3 linked regions of the Coturnix japonica genome follow. The protein of the gene in region 1 interacts with the protein of each later gene in a pairwise test. Links are inferred from orthologs where the notes say so. Each region holds a gene or a part of one and is shown on either strand. Other genes may lie near its edges.

Region 1 (5,733 bases):
TGGGGGGCTGTGTTGCACTACTGCTCCCACACTCCAGACATGGCCAGTGGCCTCCTGCTCTGTGTGAGCACGCTGGTCTCTGCTCAGGGCTCTCCTTTGCCAAGGCTGAGGTCATTTGTTTCACCGGGGTATCCCATGACCCCCAGCGTATGCCTAGGTCTTGTAGAACTGCAAGGGGTGAGTGCCTGTGCTGCAAAAGGGCATCAGAGATTGTGCCCCAGGACAGGTCCATCATCGGCCAAGAAATGTCAGACCCACCAAGGGGGGCAAAGCCACAGTTGTCCATGGCACTGCAGCCTCCCTAGCTCTGACAGTAGTGTGTATGGTAGAGGTAACATTGCTGGGGCTTGGAAGGGTGGTGAGGGAGGCAGAACTCTGTTGCAGCCTCAGTGTCTCACTTGCAGGCCAGATGCAGTGGTTGATCCATGGCTCCTAGCTTTATGGGACAAGATCCTTGCCCTGTATCCTCTCCCTCCTGGCCTTGAGGTCATCAGTCCTGATGTATGGTGAGTGTAGAGGCTTGCTGGAAATGGCTGGTGTGAAATGTCTTCTGTGGCTGTTCTCTGCTTCTAGGGTGGAGGCCAGGACACCTCCCCACAAAACTACTGATGTCCCAAGCATCCCTAAGACCTAACTGCTCCCACTAGACAGGCTTACTTTGCTCTGCTTGCTCCAACCTCTTTTAAGATCTCCTGACAGTACTGCTGCATTGTGATGTCTTACAGCTCCAAGGGGCAGGGATCATGGGTGATGGATGTTGAAGGAAACTTCAGTGTGTCCCTGCCTCCCTGTAAAGCTAAGGCAGTGGATGAGCTGTGGAATGGAGATGCACTGACTGCATTGCTATTATTCCCACAGTCTGCCCCCTAGATACACCATGCACTACCTGGCTGAGGATTCCCTGCACTCTGACAGCAGCCTCTTGCAGCCAACACCACACAGGGCTCCTCCTTCTGAGCTACATCCCTTTGCTGCCCGGATGGTGTCCAACCAGCGTGTCACAGCCGAATCCCATTTCCAGGATGTCCGGCTCATCGAGTTTGATGTCACAGGATCAGGGATCACGTGAGTGTTTTTCTGGCTCCCTCGTACTTTTTCTTGTGTGAGATCAGATGGCCATGCTCAGCAGGTCCTGCTGTATTTGCAGGTTCAGCGCAGGAGACGTGGTGATGATCCAGCCCCAGAACTGCCCTGAAGATGTGCAACAGTTCTGCCAGCTCCTTCGCCTGGATCCAGACAAATACTTTTTGCTGAAGCCCACAGAGCCTGGTAGGTGCTGCTGGCTACTCCTTTACCTCTCTGTCAGGCCTGGAGATCTGTTTTTCCTTTGCTTTAGATCCAGTAAGTAAGGAAATACAGATTTGAGAGTGGCTGGCTGATACAGAACATCTGCCTGCCTTGCAGTGCTGGGGCTCTCCTTCTCTCCCAACTCTCTATGCATATAGGTCCATCATTAGGGCTGACATGGCTCATGGGAGGGACACAGGGATACCAGTGCTGCCTTATGTCTTCAGCAGCTCAGAGCACGAAAGATCCTGCACACTCACCAGCCCAAGGCCCAAGTCAAGTTGCTCTCACTTCTGCCCCCATCCATGCCTATGATTCTTTGCTGGGGCTCGCAGGTTTCCTGGCTCTGCCTGTACCCCAGAGTCTTGATGGAGGTGCTTGTCCATACAGTGGTACCAACAACCAGGAAGTCCTCATGGAGGCACCCACTCACCAGGCATTGCTGTGGCTCTGTGGTCTGCATGGCGCCAGGAAAGGTTTCTTTTCTTTCCTCTCCCATCACTTCCCTGGTCTGAGGGACTGAAGATGGCAGGAAGTCAATATAAGATCTATTGGAAAACATCACCCCAAGACCTTCCTTTGTGCTTTAAATTGTGTTTTGGTTTGCTCCTTTCTTTCCCAACTGCCTCCAAAGGTGAAAAAACCCAGTAGACATCTTCAGCATCACAGTCTTTTTACCCATACAGGGAGAGCACAGCCTGCCTGGTGTGGTCAGCAGCAGGAAGGGAGAAGTCCTGGACCTTAAAAAGGATGCAGAGCAATTGCCAGCCCCTCTGCTTGATGCCACCTGAAGCTAGACAGTGCTGTGAGGACCCTCTAATGGGCTTCTGTGGCCTAGGAAGTGTCCAAGCTACCATGGCAGGGAACAAGTGTTCTGTCTCCAAGACGCCAGAACTCCATCCCTGCCATTTCTGAGCACTCTTGATCCTGATATGTCCTAGTGTTGGTCCCTGGCATTTCAGCCCACCTGCAGGGGTCTGCCTCTCGTGAAGAATCACAGATCCTGGTTGGTGCACTTGCAGGTCAGCATGTGAGCATCGCTGTCCTCTCAGTAGTCTGTTGTGCTGGGAAACACTTCAGTACCAGTTTGGCTCGATAGGTCAGATGCCAGATTTTGCAGAGCAATTTCCTTTATTTAGGTAGCAATGGCTGGAACTCTTTTCATCTTTCCTTTTACCCCACCTGCTGTTGCAGAGATGTTCAGAGTACCCACAGAGGTTGCAGTAGACCCTTACTTTTTAGCCAGTAATTGCTACTTCAAGACCATGTGTCTTGCCTTCCCCCCATTATCTCTTGACTCTCTGTCAGTGCTGGGATTTGGGCCTGGGAAGCAAACCCCAGAGAAATTGAAGCTGCTTCTTGCACCCCTGTAAGAGAAGGAGGAGACAAGGACAAGGGAGTGCTCAGAACCACTGATGTTCTCTGTTGCAAGCATGTGAGCTGGCAAAGCAAGCTGGGAAGAGCAGGATGGAGTGGGGGCAATGATGGTGGCTAAAGTCAGCTCCATTAGACCTTCCTGTAGCGTGTGAGTGCCCTCATGCAGCAGGGCTGGGAAGTGCCGGAGCTGGCTCTGAGCTCTCTCTGGTGCCTCTCTTACAGGCACAGCCCTCCCTGCCCATTTGCTGCAGCCCTGCACCATCCGACACCTGGTCACCCACTACCTGGACATCTCCTGCGTGCCACGGCGCTCCTTCTTTGAGCTCTTGTCCCACTTCTCTACAAATGAGCTGGAGCGGGAGAAGCTGCAGGAGTTCAGCTCTGCACAGGGCCAGGAAGAGCTGTACAACTACTGCAACCGGCCTCGCAGGACCACCCTTGAGGTTGGCCTGGGGGAGCACAGCAGATCCATCCTTGAGGACTTTGCCATGGAAATAAAGCAGCCAGGGCAGAGGAGACAGATGATGAGCAGTAATTCAATGACTGAGGAATTTAATTCACTTTTTTCTCAAGTGTCCTTGGAATAAGCAGGCTAAGACCTGCTCCAAATTCTTGGGCTCTGTTGTGGATTCTGTGTTGCAACCTGGGGACAAGGGTAGGGCAGTGAGACAGGGAGATTGGTGCTCAGAGAATCCCTGCTGTGGGGCTTTGGGTGAGGGTGGCAGTGTTACAGAACAACTTTTGCTGCCTCAGAAAAGCAGGCAGGCTGCCTTCTGAGCTGCACCAGCTTGGCTCTCCGTGGCTTTGCAGGCGCTCTGGGATTTCCCTCACACCACATCTGCCATTCCACCTGAATACCTGCTGGACCTCATCCCTCGCATCAGACCCCGCGCCTTCTCCATCGCTTCCTCCATGCTGGTAAGATCTCAGCCTTTCTCAGCCTCATGTCAGGCACTGAATTGAGTGCCAGGGCACTGCTGGTGCTGTGCACAGCACAGGTATTCAGGCTGCACTGCCTGACCCTGTGAATGTCCACAGCCCACCCGAACCCCCACTGCAGGTTAAGGTGTTTGCAGGTGTTGGGGCTTGCTTAGTACAGGCTCTGCTGTCACAGGGAACACTGGGATGTGACACTATGGAGGTTGGCAGGTGGGAAGGGTGTACTTCTGCTTCCTGCTGCTGCCAGGAGGTGGCGGTGGGATCCAGCCATGTGTCTTGGCAGATGTCAGCCCAAGCACTGATGGCATTTGCTTTCCATGGAGGGCTCTTGGCTTGAACTGTCTCTGTCACCATTGCCAACTGCACAGAGCATTCCTATGGCTGTGCTGCAATAGGAAAACCCTGCTCTGTACTGTGTCTGAGCAGCTGTTTCAAGCTGGGATGAGTGTTGCCCTGGTATGAGCTGTTCCTGGTGGAGGCAGTGAACTGTGCTAGGTATCTTGGTTCTCATGGCTCCTATCTGCACACAGGCTCACCCTGGCCGGATCCAGATCCTCGTGGCAGTAGTGCAGTACAAGACACGGCTCAGCAAGCCTCGCCGTGGTCTCTGCTCTACGTGGTTGGCATCTCTCAACCCAGAGCAAGGTAACTTTACTTGGACTATGTGAGGACCACACTATAAAACCTCATAAGCTGCGTCCTTCTGCAAATGCGACAGGCTCATGGGATTTCCGTGCTGCAGAGTGGTAGGTGATTGCTCTGACTCCAGGGCAGGTTTGGCTCTTCTCACAGTACCTAGATGGTGATTTAACACCAGAGGAGTCAAACTTAGCTCTCCTTACAGGACAGCCAGGTAGCTCTCTCTACTTGCCCCCACTGTTGCCTTCCCTTGCATATGCTGTATGAGGAAGAGGCTGTCCTGCAGCCTCTTTGCTGGGGGACTCTTTCTTTGCCCTGGGATTCACTCAGGTCCTTACAGAGACAGTCTTGAGATAGCTGAAGGTCTTTTCATGCATTCAATGTGCATGTGACACTGTGATACTGGGTGGTGGTCAGCCAGGCACAGTCCATATCTCTGGAGCATTGTGGAAGGAAGGGTTTGATGCTGTACCCCGTATTGTGGGTGCAGTGATGTTGAACTGATGCTAACCATTCTGTTCGCTTTGCAGGTGATGTCCGGGTACCTCTTTGGGTGAAGAAAGGAGGAATGAAGTTCCCAGCTGAACCTGGCACTCCTGTGATCATGATTGGCCCTGGCACAGGGGTGGCACCTTTCCGAGCAGCTGTACAGGAGCGAGTGGCACAAGGACAGAAGGGTGAGGGGTGGATGTGGGGTGCACCTTGGTGCTGGCAAGTCTATGTTCAGCAGATGGGAATGAGGAACTGGGTGCTCCTGTGGGCTTGGACAAGCTTGAGCTTTACTGTAGTTGGAAGCAAGCTGGGCTCTGAGGGAGGTCAGCACCAGAGAGAGCCTGATGTGTGCAAACTATGTGGTTATTCACAGGCTGGGCTGTCAGGCTGCTTCTTGGGGCAGGGCAGGGCTCTGAAATTCCTCTTTCTTGGTTCTCTGTAAGTGGGGTTGGTTTGCTGAGATTTTCTGCTAATGCACAAGCAGTTTTCCCTCTGCCCTTGTCATTGCCCTGGCCCACTTGTGCATCTCTGCAGAAGGCTGCTAATAAGCTCATGTCAGGGAGCTGGCAGCCCTGCAAGGGCTCATCATGCCCTACTTGCCCACCACGCCCCAGATTTCCAGCCTCTGGTTGTCACAGGTCATGTGCATTGACACACAGTTCTTGAGTTGCATGGGTACTGATGGCCCTCGCAGGGCATTTGGTCTACCCAGCACAGCCCTTCTGATCTGCTCTCCACAGGGAACTGCTTGTTCTTTGGCTGCCGCCAGAAATCCAAGGACTTCTACTGCCAGGCAGAGTGGGAAGAGCTGGTGACAAAGGGCTTTCTGATGCTTTTCACAGCCTTCTCCAGGGACCAGGTTAGTTCTTGGAGGAGCAGGTTGTACAAGAAGCATCTTGGCAGTGCTGATGGGAGCCTGCTGGGGCTTTTGTCCCTGTGCCTATGAAGGACCTGGTGGGGTGGCATGGCAATCACCTTGCTCCCCTGCACCACCTGGTT
Region 2 (5,282 bases), on another chromosome or scaffold:
AAGATAGGAGGGAGCCTGTCTTCTGTCATGCCTGGTGGTTCACACCACACTGATCAGCCCTTTGTGCTGCACTGCAGCTGGGACTGACTCCTCCTCTGTTCTGAGGGATAAGCCAGACACAACTGATTATCTTTGTTCACAGGAGTAGTGGATGGAGCATTGAAATAAGGTGGCTCAGTGTGAGACTAACTGAAGATCTTGCATTCCAGCTGCAAAAGGAACCTCTGACTGCAGAGGAGGCCCAGTCAGTCCGAGAACATTTGGGCTACCAAGGCAATGACCTTCTCATTGTTCAGATAGAAGGCAGGAAACCCAATTTTGAAGTGGGATCTTCAAGTCAACTCAAACTATCCTTTGCCAAGAAAACAAGTCCTTCAGGTAAAGCATGGTTTATGCTGTATGTAGGAATTGCCCTCCTCTGAAGTGACCAGCATCCCTGTGGTAGGGAGTGCTGCATAAATACCTGTGAAGTGATGCTTTCTAAAGTTGTTTGAGCTCTGCTTGCTGGAAATAGATGGAGCAGTGACTGTGGTACCTACTGTTTCTTATTTTGTTTTGGATGCAGGAAAACCCTCAGTGGACCCAGCTACTGCTAAGCTATGGACACTGTCTGCCAATGATATGAATGACGAAGAGATGGTATCCATTTTTATTTGTGAGACTTGGCTGTCATTCCTTCTCTCTTCTTTTCTACTCTAACTAGTTTCAGTCATTCCTCTTGGGAAGCTTTACAACTTAAGAAGTAGAAAAGCATCCCCAGGGCAAAATTTCTCAGGTGCTGTTTGAGGTGTTGGGTGCCCACAGGTGTGGTGAGAGTTGAGGGAAAGGTATTGTTGAGAGGGAGTGTTTCTGTGCATGTAACAGCAATGTCATTCCCTACTAACGAGTCTGTCTGTTGTGTGTTTTCTTCCATGGTTTATTCCAGGATCTTTTGGACTCTGATGAACTACTGGATTCAGAGGATTTGAAAAAGCCAGATCCAGCCTCTCTCAGAGCTCCATCCTGCAAAGAAAAGGGCAAAAAGAAAGCCTGCAAGAACTGGTCAGTGTTGAGATTAGCATGTCCGTGTACCTCTTAGCTCATAGCAATGAAACCTTAGAGGTGGATGTTTTTGAAATAGATTGTGGGAAAGCATCATTCACTTGGTTCGTGTCCTTCCCTTATCTTGGCTATTTGAATGCAAATCCAAACACAGTGAGAACTGGCTATCTGTGCCAGAACTGCTGCAAACTGCCATGGTGGTATGAGCAGCAGCCTTCTCAGAGGTAGCTGCACAGTTTGTGCAGCCTTCACTTGAATCCTGTTCCCACTGCTTTTAAGGAGGAATGGTTTACGTGGCAAATTGCTTTAGAGTCACTTGCTTCAGCTGGAGGAGTGTGCTTCAATACTTGATTTGCAAACTGGTATTGGAGAACAAAGTGCAGAGCATGAGAGTCCCAGGGCCAGCTGTGTTGTGTGACTGAGTGAGGGCTTGTTGCATGAGAGCAGTTTTGGAATGAAGATTATAACTCATAGCTTTTAATCAGAACGATGCAAGTGACTTCTTTGTTTTCTACAGCACATGTGGCCTGGCTGAAGAGCTGGAACAGGAGAAGAAGAGCTCGCAGCCCAAATCTGCCTGTGGAAATGTAAATAGTTGTTATGTTTGTGTGTTGTGGTTTGCAGGGGTGCAGTTTGTGTCTGAGAACCGACTGCAGCAGTCCTACTGCTTACTTTAAAAGCTTACTGCTTTTCAAATACTGCCTGCTTTGCAGAGCTTCTGGCTTTACCATCTCATCTCTTAGAACAGCCCACATGCTCTGCACTAGTTTGCTGTGTGCCGACAGTGCTAGTGCCACCTTGACATGAGTCAGAGTAGACAGTGACACTGTGCTTCACTTGCTCTGTGGGGAAGGTCACCTTATGGGAGTACAGTTAGGGAGCTGCCAAAGCCAGCACACAGCAGAGCTGCCCTTCTGCAGAGCTGGGCTGGAAACTTGGTTCCTTTGTGTGGGTGCAGTGCCCTGCACCAGCTCCATTACCTGCTAAACAAGCATGTGCCCAGAGGAGGTGGAAGGGAAGTGCTTTCTGTGCTGGCATATGCTGAGGAGCAGGTCATTTCTCTAGGTGGGAAAAGCATTTAATAGGAAGAGAGAACTGAGAGTTGCCATGATAAGAAGTGTTTTTCTGTCTCTTGGCAGTGCTACCTGGGGGATGCATTCCGCTGTGCCAGTTGCCCTTACCTGGGGATGCCTGCCTTCAAGCCTGGAGAGAAGATCCTGCTGAAAGAGAACCAGCTGCACGATGCCTAAGAAAGTCATCTCTGAATGTCCTGAAAGGGACCTCTCTGCTTTTCCATCAGCCTGAGATGCAGAGGTTCTTCTTACAGTTCTCCTCATCTGCTCAAATTCCTGCTCTCCAGCCAATACTCGTGGGGAGGGACACTGTGGGGTGGGGAGTGACACTGCTGTGAGCTCATCACATGTAATCAACTTTGAGCTTAGTGATAATCAGTGGTGGCCAGTGGTCTTGTATGTATTACACTTCTTAATGCTAAGCCTCATAGCTGCCTTCACTCAATACTGAGACGCTGGCCATCCCAGCCTGTCCCACCAGCAGAGGGAAGTGGAATTGTGTCAGACTGACCTTGTGTGCGGTGGTAAGAGCCTCACCAGTGCTTCCCCAAGCCCACATTGCTCCTTACCCTTATTTTACATTGTGTTAACAGCTGTGGCTCAGCCCTCAGAGTAACATTGGGCTCCTTCTATTTTGGAAGTCTGAACCTGAAATGCTTTACTAGGTGAGGGTTACTCAGCAGCTCCTATTGCAGGTCAGGAGCAGCCAGTACTCTTTGCTGTGTACTCCTTGGAAATTCATCAGGTGGGTCAGAGTTTACCATATGTTTTGAGGCTGTCACCCCCCCCCCCTCCATCACCTGTTTTGAATGACAAAGATTCATTCCCACTGAGGTAGATATCTGCTGCCCTTAAGGCAGGGAGAAAATTAACCTTGTCCTCCCCCATCTCTGACCGACAAAAACACAAGGGCAGTCTGAGACCCATCCCCTCTCTTGCTGGTTATCAAGTGAGTTACCCACAGTGTCCAATACAGAACATAGCAATAACTTAATTTCTGGTTGATACTGACGACTCTGTATTTATTTGTGTTCTTAATGCTACTGAAGCATCCTTGCAGGTGCAGGATGAGGGAGCTGCTGGTGCTCTGTGCCAGGCTTGCTTCTCACCCAGGGAAGGAGAGGAGGAAAACACAACGTGCTCTGCAGGACATGACTTCTTGTTGTTGTCCTTCCTCAGTTGCGCAATAAACTCACGTAGGGATCTGGGATGAAAAGCTGTTCTGTTCTTAAAATAAATGTGACCAATAATCAAGCATTTGTGTTAGAACTGGTATTGGTGGCATTTTACACAGGTGTCTCTCCTTTTACTTGGTTTCTGCTTGAGGCCATTAGGGACAATGTTGTAAGAGATGGGCCCCCTCAAATGTCTCCTGCAGCAGTGGGAGCGCTGCGTGCCTTCCAAACAGGGAGCTGAGTTCATCAATGATAAAGGCAGGCCTTAAAGTGAGCTCTGCTTTCCTTTCAGGGGCAAATAAGATAAGATCCAGAGGAGGTGGTGGAGGCTTTTGTTTCACCATGATTCACAGCGCTGGAATTTAAACAAGCTGGAAACACTTTCAGATACTGCAGAGTTCAGTTAATGATGGTTAAGACTGTATAATCTTGTTCTCTTCAGACAGCATTGCTGTCTGAGAGGCCCTCAGATGGGGGCAGACTCTGGCAGTGGGATATCTGGTGGGACTCTACTGCCATCATGCTGGCTTTGAGGAGTATTCATCCTTTTAGTCCCCTTCCTGGATAGTGGCCATGGTAGGGACAGGTTGGTGCTTGGATGATCTGAATGGTCTTTTCCAGCCTTGATTCTAGGCTGCTCTGCAGGTGGAAGGGATGTGCTGCAGTGTTGGGGCTCAGCAGGTCAGGTTGATAGATGGAATCATCGATCCTGAGGCTCTTTTCCAATCTAAATCAGTTTGATTCTATGAATCAATGGCTTTCTTGGTCTGAGCCATTTTCCTCCCCATCCTCTTCCTCTCCTGACCCTTTTACTGCCTCCTCTTATCATTTCACCACTGCTTCCCTCCATCTTTCCGTTGTTCTTCCCAAAACTCTCCTGCTTTCCCTCCTCTTTGCCAACCACCCATCCCTCAGGAGCAATCCTGCTTCTTGGTTTGCTTTGCTGTTCATTATTTCCCTTTGCCCTGCCCAGGTTTCTCCCCTGGGATCCACTCCTCCATCCCATATGGGTTCCCATTGCCATTTCCACTCTTGGACATGGAGAGAGATCCTTTTCTCAGCATGCAGTGAGCAAGGTGCTGTGTTTATTATCACCCCACGTTCACGTAGGCATTGATGCCTGTGTTGTGTCCAGTCTGATGACATCTTTCTGAGAACTTGAAATTCTGAGGCTCAGTTCCGGATTTTAACCCCCATAATCTACAAAGGCAGATCCCCACATTTCCTGCTTGCTCTTGCCAAAGCCCTTGAGATTTCAAGAGATTATCTCAGCCAGTTCCTCATGTTGTCACGGTAAGTAACTCCACGTCTTGCTTGCTTCTTTATTGGGGTTCTCCCTGGTTTTGGCTTGCTCCTGTGTGCCCCTTCTGTGCCTGACCCCACCACACTCAGCTGTGAGATAGAGTTCTGAATTCTGAATGCCTTTGCTGTCACATCGTTGTGGTTTTTCCTCCTGGTGAAGCAACGGGCTGAGCCTCCTCTGCCTTCCTCTGGTATTTGATGCAGTTGCACAAGCAGAGAACCTTCTGCAGTCCTCGATTTTAACTCCCAGGGTACTAAGATGTCATTGCAGGACCTCAGTTATTTTGCAATGAGAAGGGTGAGCTGATGGGTTACAACACATGGGGTTCCATCAGGCTGGTCACTGGTGGGGTTCCTCAGAGCTCCATTTTAGGGCTAGTTCTCTTTTTGTGTATTTAAAGTCACCTCAGCCTGCTGCCAATGCTCCTAATGCAGGATACTATGGGCCTTGTTGGCAGCTGGGGCACATTGCTTGTGGCCAACTCGGTGCCCAGCAGGACAGCTTGTTGCTTGTGTCAGCTTGATGGATGCTGTGCTGGGACAATATTCAGTGCCTTACAGAAGGAAGATGAGAAGGGACAGGTAGTTCTGGTGAGAATACCTGATGTCAGATGTTGATGTGAAAATAAATGGCAGCAAATGGCACTTGGGAGGAGGGTAAGAGGGAGCAGAGCAAGCATTGCTCCCACAG
Region 3 (6,172 bases), on another chromosome or scaffold:
CTCCTCCTCCTTCACCTCTCTGCCTTTCTCCAAAGCCTTCAGCAGATCTGACTTGTAGGGCAGCGCATAGACCGAGCCCTGTGGGATGGGGTGAGAGCAGAGCTGAGCCTTGGCTGTGGGGATGCCCAAAAGCCAATGGGACCCCCATGTCCCACTGCCCACCCCACAGCGGGGTGACCCCATGAGCAGCAGCTTATGGCACCTTAGAGACATGGCATGGAGAGGATGGCTCATCTCAGAGGTCCTTCCCAACCTTAATGGTTCTATGACCCCCTGCCCCGGCTCTCACCATGAAAAGCTTCTGCAGCATCCAGCCGTGGTATTTCTTGAGGGCAATCTCATAGGCTTTCATGGCATTGACACGGATGAGGTTGGGATGCTCCTCATCCCGCTCGCCATCGGAGATGCTCTGCAGCAGCACCAGCATGAACTTCAGGCCCCTGCCAGGGAGAAGGAGGCTGGTACCGTGACCCCAAACCCGCTGTGGGGTGACACTCTGACCCTGAGCCCTACACGACCCCCAGCCCCACATTAGGGGCGATATAACAACCCAATCAATCACCTCTTCAGCCACATCAGCGCCAGCGTGGCTCCGGTCTTAGGCCATGCAGCACCGTGCATTTCCTTCTCCACCTCCAGGATGTTCTGCAGCGTTTTGAACTTGCTGGGGTTGGACTCATAAACAGCCCGGATCTTCTATAAGGGTACAGAGGTTTGGGGTCAAGGTGGGCACCCACAGCCGGGTCCTGCAGTGCTGTACATGGGGTGGTGACCCCCCCCACAACCTCATACCTTGATGTTCCCAGCCAGGTCGGCTTTGACGGGTGAGTACACGATGGGTGTCCCCAGGCAATCTGCGGGGACAGGGGGTCACAATGGCTTCGCCCCGTGCCCGGCTGTCCCCGTATGGCTCCGTACAATGGCGCATTGTATGGAGCGGAGGTTCGGCCCCGTTCTGTCCCGTTCTGCCCCATTCTATCCCGTTCTATCCCGTTCTGTCCCGTTCGGCCCCGTTCCATCCCTGTACACCCCGGGGGTTGGGTCGGGCCGTTTCCTAACGCTGTCGCTCAGCGGGTCGGACGGGACGAGCCGCCACACCCGGCCCTGACGCAACTGGGGCGGGACCGGGGGCGGGACCGGGGGGTGCGGACCGGGACCGGGACCGGAACCGGGGCGGGGGTGGAAGCTTGGGGGGGTGTGGGACCCTATAATGGGATCCCGGGACCGGACGGGGCTGGTGTTGCTGAGCGTTCCGTGCCCGCGGGTGGCGGCGTCCCGGTTCGGTCCGGTCCCGGTCCGGCAGGTTCCACAGCCCCTGGCCCAGCTCTTACCGAAGAATGGCGGCAGGTGGGACACGGCCTCCAGGAACGGCAGCGTCTCGATCTGTTTGTCCGCCGGCAGCGGCCGGAACTCGTGCTCTAATAGCAGCGCCATGAACCGACCCGGCACGGACCGAACCGACCCGGCACCGACCCGGTAGCGCGCCACGCCGAGACACGCCCATCAATGAAGCCAACCAATGGGTGAGCACGGCCCACCGAGAGGCGGCCAATAGGAATGAGAGGGCGGGACTTGTCCGGGTGAGTAGGCGGGGCTTATGGTAGAGGTGGGCGGGGCTTGTCTCAATGTGGGCGGGGCTTACGGTGTGCGCCCATCCCGGTATCGACCGGGACCGGACCGGGACCCCCAGCCCGAACCGATGGGGTGGGGGGTGTCCGCTGTGCCTATGGAGCACCCAGTGCCTATGGTGCAATCACAGCCGTCCCACCGGGCTCACTGCGGGCGCTGCGATCGGGTGGCAGTGAATGATTCAGCCGGTGTCCCGATGGACGGAGCTCAATGAGCCGAACCGGGCTGAGCACGAGGCCCGTCCGCATCCCGTTACAGCTCCATACAGCCGGACACCTATGGGCGCTATGGATGCGCTGAATGAGGCGTGGGGCGACTCCTGACAGCGCCCAGCTGTGCTCAGGGCCAGGAAACACAAACCTTCCACCGTGCTGAAATATTCACAGCTCCATTAATACTTAAAGCACTGCAGCTCATGTATTGCGGCCTCATCCCGACCCGCGAGGCCAATTCGTTCACCCCGATGCTTTTTGTCCCTCGGCGCTCCCCGTACCCGTTGCCATGGTGACCCTCGCGGCCTACATTAGGGCCTAGTGATGGCGCAGTGGCGGCCGGCGCTGGGCCGGGCCCTGGAGCGGCAGCGGGAGAGGGAGGCGAAGAACCGGCTGCAATGGGACACGTACAACCGCTCCTTCCAGCTCGCCGCGTTCTCCTGCTCCGCTCAGGCCCGTTGGAGCGAGCCGCAAAATGCGGGCGGCACGAGCACGGGGCGGGGTGAGGAGGAAGGGATGAGGAAGCGCAGGGAGAGACTGAGGGAGATGCTGGGCGCTGAGCGGGACGCGCTGGAGGCTGAAATACAGGCCGAGATACGAGCGGAGCCCGGCGGGATGGAGGAACATGGAGGGATGAGGAAGCGCTGTGAGGAGCTGAGGGCGGCACGAGAGGAGAGAAGGAGGCAGGTGAGAGATATGGGGGGGATGGGGCTGAGCTGGGCCGTGTGGGACCCATATACTGACACTGCTGTGTGGGACCCATATACTGACACTGCTGTGTGTGTCCCATATACTGACACTGCTGTGTGGGACCCATATACTGACACTGCTGTGTGGGACCCATATACTGACACTGCTGTGTGTGCTTAGGTCGCCGAGAAGCTGCTGCGGGAGAGATGGAAACAGAACAGCGAGGAGCTGAGGGAGGTGAGGAGTCACGGCACGGGATCCCCACAAGGGTGCTTTATCCCAAGGGTGCTTTATCCCAAAGTCCATCTGTTCCCACTGCCTGCAGTGCTCAGGGACACCCACAGCTCCATCAGTGCTCACAGCACCATCCCCTGACTGTGGGTGTCTGCAGGTGCTGGCAATAGAAAAAGGCTCTGACAGCGCTGACTCTCTGCAGGTGGAGTCAGAGCTACACAAGAAGAACGTGGTGGAGTCCTGGGGTGAGCAGCTGAAGCAGAAGCAGCAGGTATGTTGGAGCTGCATGAAATGTGGGCTGTAAGCAGCTGGTATTCCTGTACTACCTGGACTAGGAGCTGGCTATTTGTTTTCTTTTGTACTATATAGTGACTGAGTTGGCCTTGCTTGTTCCCATAGTGGTGCGAGGTTCTGGTGTCTGCAGGATGCTTGGAGTTGATGGGAAGTATCTCATCTCCTAGAAAATCCAATGTTATCTGCTGAACAGATCTATTTAGTCTCATTTTCTCATTTCCTTCCCTAGCACATCTTATCCTGTGTCCTTCAAATAGGTGTCAGCTTCCTGGAAGCTGATTTGAGCATCTCCTGAACCACAGGCTGTTCCTTTGAGTTTAGTCTAACCTGAAATGCAATGCTTTCTTTTGGCTCAATAAGCAACAAGCAACGGAACGAGGAGAGAGAAAGCTTCTTGAAAATGAATGTGAAATGGCACGAAGGGAAGCTGAGGAAAGAATGAGACAAGAGGAAGAGAAACGTCAGCTGGAGAACAAGAAGCAAGGGGAGCTGTTGCTTCAACAGATAGAAGAACTGAAATTACGGGAGGCAGAGGTAACCTTCAGCTTCTCCTTGTGTAGGAAGAAAGTTCATTGCTTCACTTGGAAACACAGCAATGCTGACTTGACCTCTTCCTTCCAGATTTCCCCCTAGATTAGATTTGGAACAAAGTCAGCTGTGCTTTGTAATGCAGATCTCTCTGTGAATACAGGCATGTTAAATGACATCTCGTAGGCTTCATTTGCACCTCTTGAAATGTGGGCACCCTTCTGTGCTGTATTGGATGTAGAAACACTGCAGTGTGAGAGGTTGCAGTAGCTTTTTCAGCTGAAGCTCCTCACCTTCTCTCTTATGCTGTGAGTCAGTAGGATGCAAATGGTGTGGAGTATCTACCACGATTATGAGTGTGGTACAAGCTGGTACTGAGGCTCACTGGGATGTCTTAGCTCTCTGAAGCACTCACTTGGTTATTGTTTGTTTCTCCTTTTCAAAAATGTTAGGCAGCCAAGCTGAAGAAAGAGCAAGAGGATTTATTAAAGCAGCAGTGGGAGCTGGGAAACTTAGAAGAAGAAAGAAAGCAAATGGAAGAGCGCCGGAAGAAGACTGAGCTTGGGTATGCAATGTAGCTCTAAGCAGTGGTGGATGGGATCTCTTCCTGTGACCATGATAGTACTTGCAGCAGGAGGAGATGTTTTAGATAGCAGGGGTGGGCAGCAGATGCTTGCTTGTTTTGTTGGAAGTGCAAGAACAGCTACTGAGCATAAATGCATTGGTGCCATTGCTACTTTTTGCTCGTGTTAGAGGTAGCAGGTATCTCTGTTGCCTCTGTGTATTTTAATGTTGTAAATGCACTTTCTGGAATGCTGGTATACAATATAATAGGGCTTTAGAGATGGTCTGAATGCTGGTATACAATATAATAGGGCTTTAGAGATGGTCTGAATGCTGGTATACAATATAATAGGGCGTTAGAGATGGTCTGAATTTGTTTTGTTTTCTTCCTTCAGTCGCTTTTTGTTGCATCAATATGATGCCCAGTTAAAGAGACGAGCCCAGGAGGTACAGGACGAGCTGGTAAGAGGAAAATACCTTCTGATTTGTGCAATATAGATAATAGAATCATAGAATTACCCAGGTTGGAAGAGATCTTGAAGATCATCAAGTCCAACCGCACCCTAACCAGTACCCTGACTCTAAAAACCCTCCACTAAATCATACCCCTGAGTAGATACTGCCTGCTGAAGGAACTTGTTGTGTTTCATGTATGTGTCTGCCTCCAGTGCCTACAGATAAGCAGTTAGGAGGCCTCTTCTGGCTTATGAACAGGGCTGGAGTGAAAAGATCAGAGAGAAGCAGGCAGTCAGAGTGTCTTTCTGAGGACACCCTTGACACTATGTCACCAATGATTTGTACAGAGTACTAAAGTACACAGGCTGGAAGCCCGCTGGATGGTTATTAATCTTTAGGGGTTTTTTTTCCCCTCAAGGAAACAGACAGACAAATCTTATTAGCCATCCTTGAGAAAGAAGAGGAGGATCAGCGCCACAAGGCTGAAAAACGAGAGCGAGCTGTTGCAGACGCTGCCTGGATGAGAAATGTCATTGAGGAACAGCTCCAGTTAGAAAAGGAGAGGGAGGCAGAGCTACAGGTTATTTATAGGTGTGTATGCAGCTCTGTTATACATCGTCAAAAGGGAATGTATGTGCTGGATGTTCTTCTCTATGTGGCAGAGCTCATTTCTGTTTGTTAAATAGGTGATCATCTAGAGGTGGACACTAAAAAGAGGTGCCTGGTAGGCCTTGCTGTTGTAGAAATGTGCCTGTTTATTTAAGTAAGGAGTAACCTCAGAAAGGAATCTTTCTTTCACCTTCAGGGAAGAAGCTAGAAAAATGTGGGAGAAGAGGGAAGAACAATGGGCAAAGGAGAAGATGGCCAGAGATCGCCTGATGAATGAGGTGATGACTTCTTTTAATGAGGTGTCTCTTGGTCTGACAAAGCTGTTGTTCCAGTTGTGACCTTCCAACCCCCAGAGGGTCACAGCCTTCTGTATTCGAGTCTTTCTGTTCTCCTGATATATTTTTCTGATAACAGTTTGCTTCCATGTCTGGTCTCTTCCTTATCTTCTTTCTTAATCATCTCATTTCACACAGGTCCTCGCAGGCAGACAGCGCCAGATCCAGGAGAAGATGGAGTTAAACAGACAGGCCCAAGAAGAGTCTATAAAGTATCGAGAGCAACTGATTAAAGAACTTGAGGAGGCAAAGGAACTGACAAGGCGAGAGAAAGAGCAAGAGAAGGAACGGAAGATAGCTCACAGACAGGACTTGGAAGCTCAGGTATAGCATGCTTTTCAGAGAGATAGCTGAGTATTGAAAATGCTGTTGCAGGATACTAACACAGGTTAGGGATGTTTCTGGTCCCAAATGCACCAGCAGCCTCCCTGGCTGTTTACGTTCAGGTGTCTGCACAGCCACTGGCTTTGTTCTGTAACCTGTTGGCTGAGCTAGTGTGTCTGTTCAGTCTCACTGTGTTAGAAACCTGCTGTGGTTCTGCCTCCAACCACCTGTGTGTTCTGACCTGGCTCTAACAGCCCTCATCTTGTCTCTGCTCAGATGACAGAACAGCGCTTAAAA

What was found.
Region 2: the proteins of NDOR1 (region 1) and CIAPIN1 interact in binary tests that used the Homo sapiens proteins (3 or more experiments, as listed by UniProt). The two-hybrid records come from large-scale screens. The link is inferred for Coturnix japonica from reciprocal best matches to the Homo sapiens genes NDOR1 and CIAPIN1.
Region 3: the proteins of NDOR1 (region 1) and TCHP interact in binary tests that used the Homo sapiens proteins (3 or more experiments, as listed by UniProt). The two-hybrid records come from large-scale screens. The link is inferred for Coturnix japonica from reciprocal best matches to the Homo sapiens genes NDOR1 and TCHP.

What each region holds. Positions count from the first base shown.
Region 1 is NC_029532.1:484,704-490,436, forward strand, and holds part of NDOR1 (NADPH-dependent diflavin oxidoreductase 1), read left to right. Parts: intron 1-404; coding exon 405-506; intron 507-858; coding exon 859-1,065; intron 1,066-1,147; coding exon 1,148-1,269; intron 1,270-2,886; coding exon 2,887-3,107; intron 3,108-3,474; coding exon 3,475-3,582; intron 3,583-4,133; coding exon 4,134-4,248; intron 4,249-4,772; coding exon 4,773-4,919; intron 4,920-5,474; coding exon 5,475-5,593; intron 5,594-5,733. UniProt on the Homo sapiens protein: NADPH-dependent reductase which is a central component of the cytosolic iron-sulfur (Fe-S) protein assembly (CIA) machinery.
Region 2 is NC_029526.1:1,885,847-1,891,128, reverse strand, and holds the end of CIAPIN1 (anamorsin), read left to right. Parts: intron 1-209; coding exon 210-378; intron 379-565; coding exon 566-639; intron 640-925; coding exon 926-1,041; intron 1,042-1,558; coding exon 1,559-1,628; intron 1,629-2,180; coding exon 2,181-2,291; 3' UTR 2,292-3,369; downstream 3,370-5,282. UniProt on the Homo sapiens protein: Component of the cytosolic iron-sulfur (Fe-S) protein assembly (CIA) machinery required for the maturation of extramitochondrial Fe-S proteins.
Region 3 is NC_029530.1:5,974,269-5,980,440, forward strand, and holds the start of TCHP (trichoplein keratin filament-binding protein), read left to right. Parts: upstream 1-2,119; 5' UTR 2,120-2,165; coding exon 2,166-2,528; intron 2,529-2,711; coding exon 2,712-2,768; intron 2,769-2,967; coding exon 2,968-3,036; intron 3,037-3,419; coding exon 3,420-3,593; intron 3,594-4,039; coding exon 4,040-4,152; intron 4,153-4,546; coding exon 4,547-4,613; intron 4,614-5,025; coding exon 5,026-5,198; intron 5,199-5,412; coding exon 5,413-5,494; intron 5,495-5,689; coding exon 5,690-5,875; intron 5,876-6,151; coding exon 6,152-6,172. Other genes in the region: GLTP (glycolipid transfer protein), read right to left, coding at 1-78, 290-440, 563-696, 793-854, 1,332-1,434. UniProt on the Homo sapiens protein: Tumor suppressor which has the ability to inhibit cell growth and be pro-apoptotic during cell stress. Inhibits cell growth in bladder and prostate cancer cells by a down-regulation of HSPB1 by inhibiting its phosphorylation.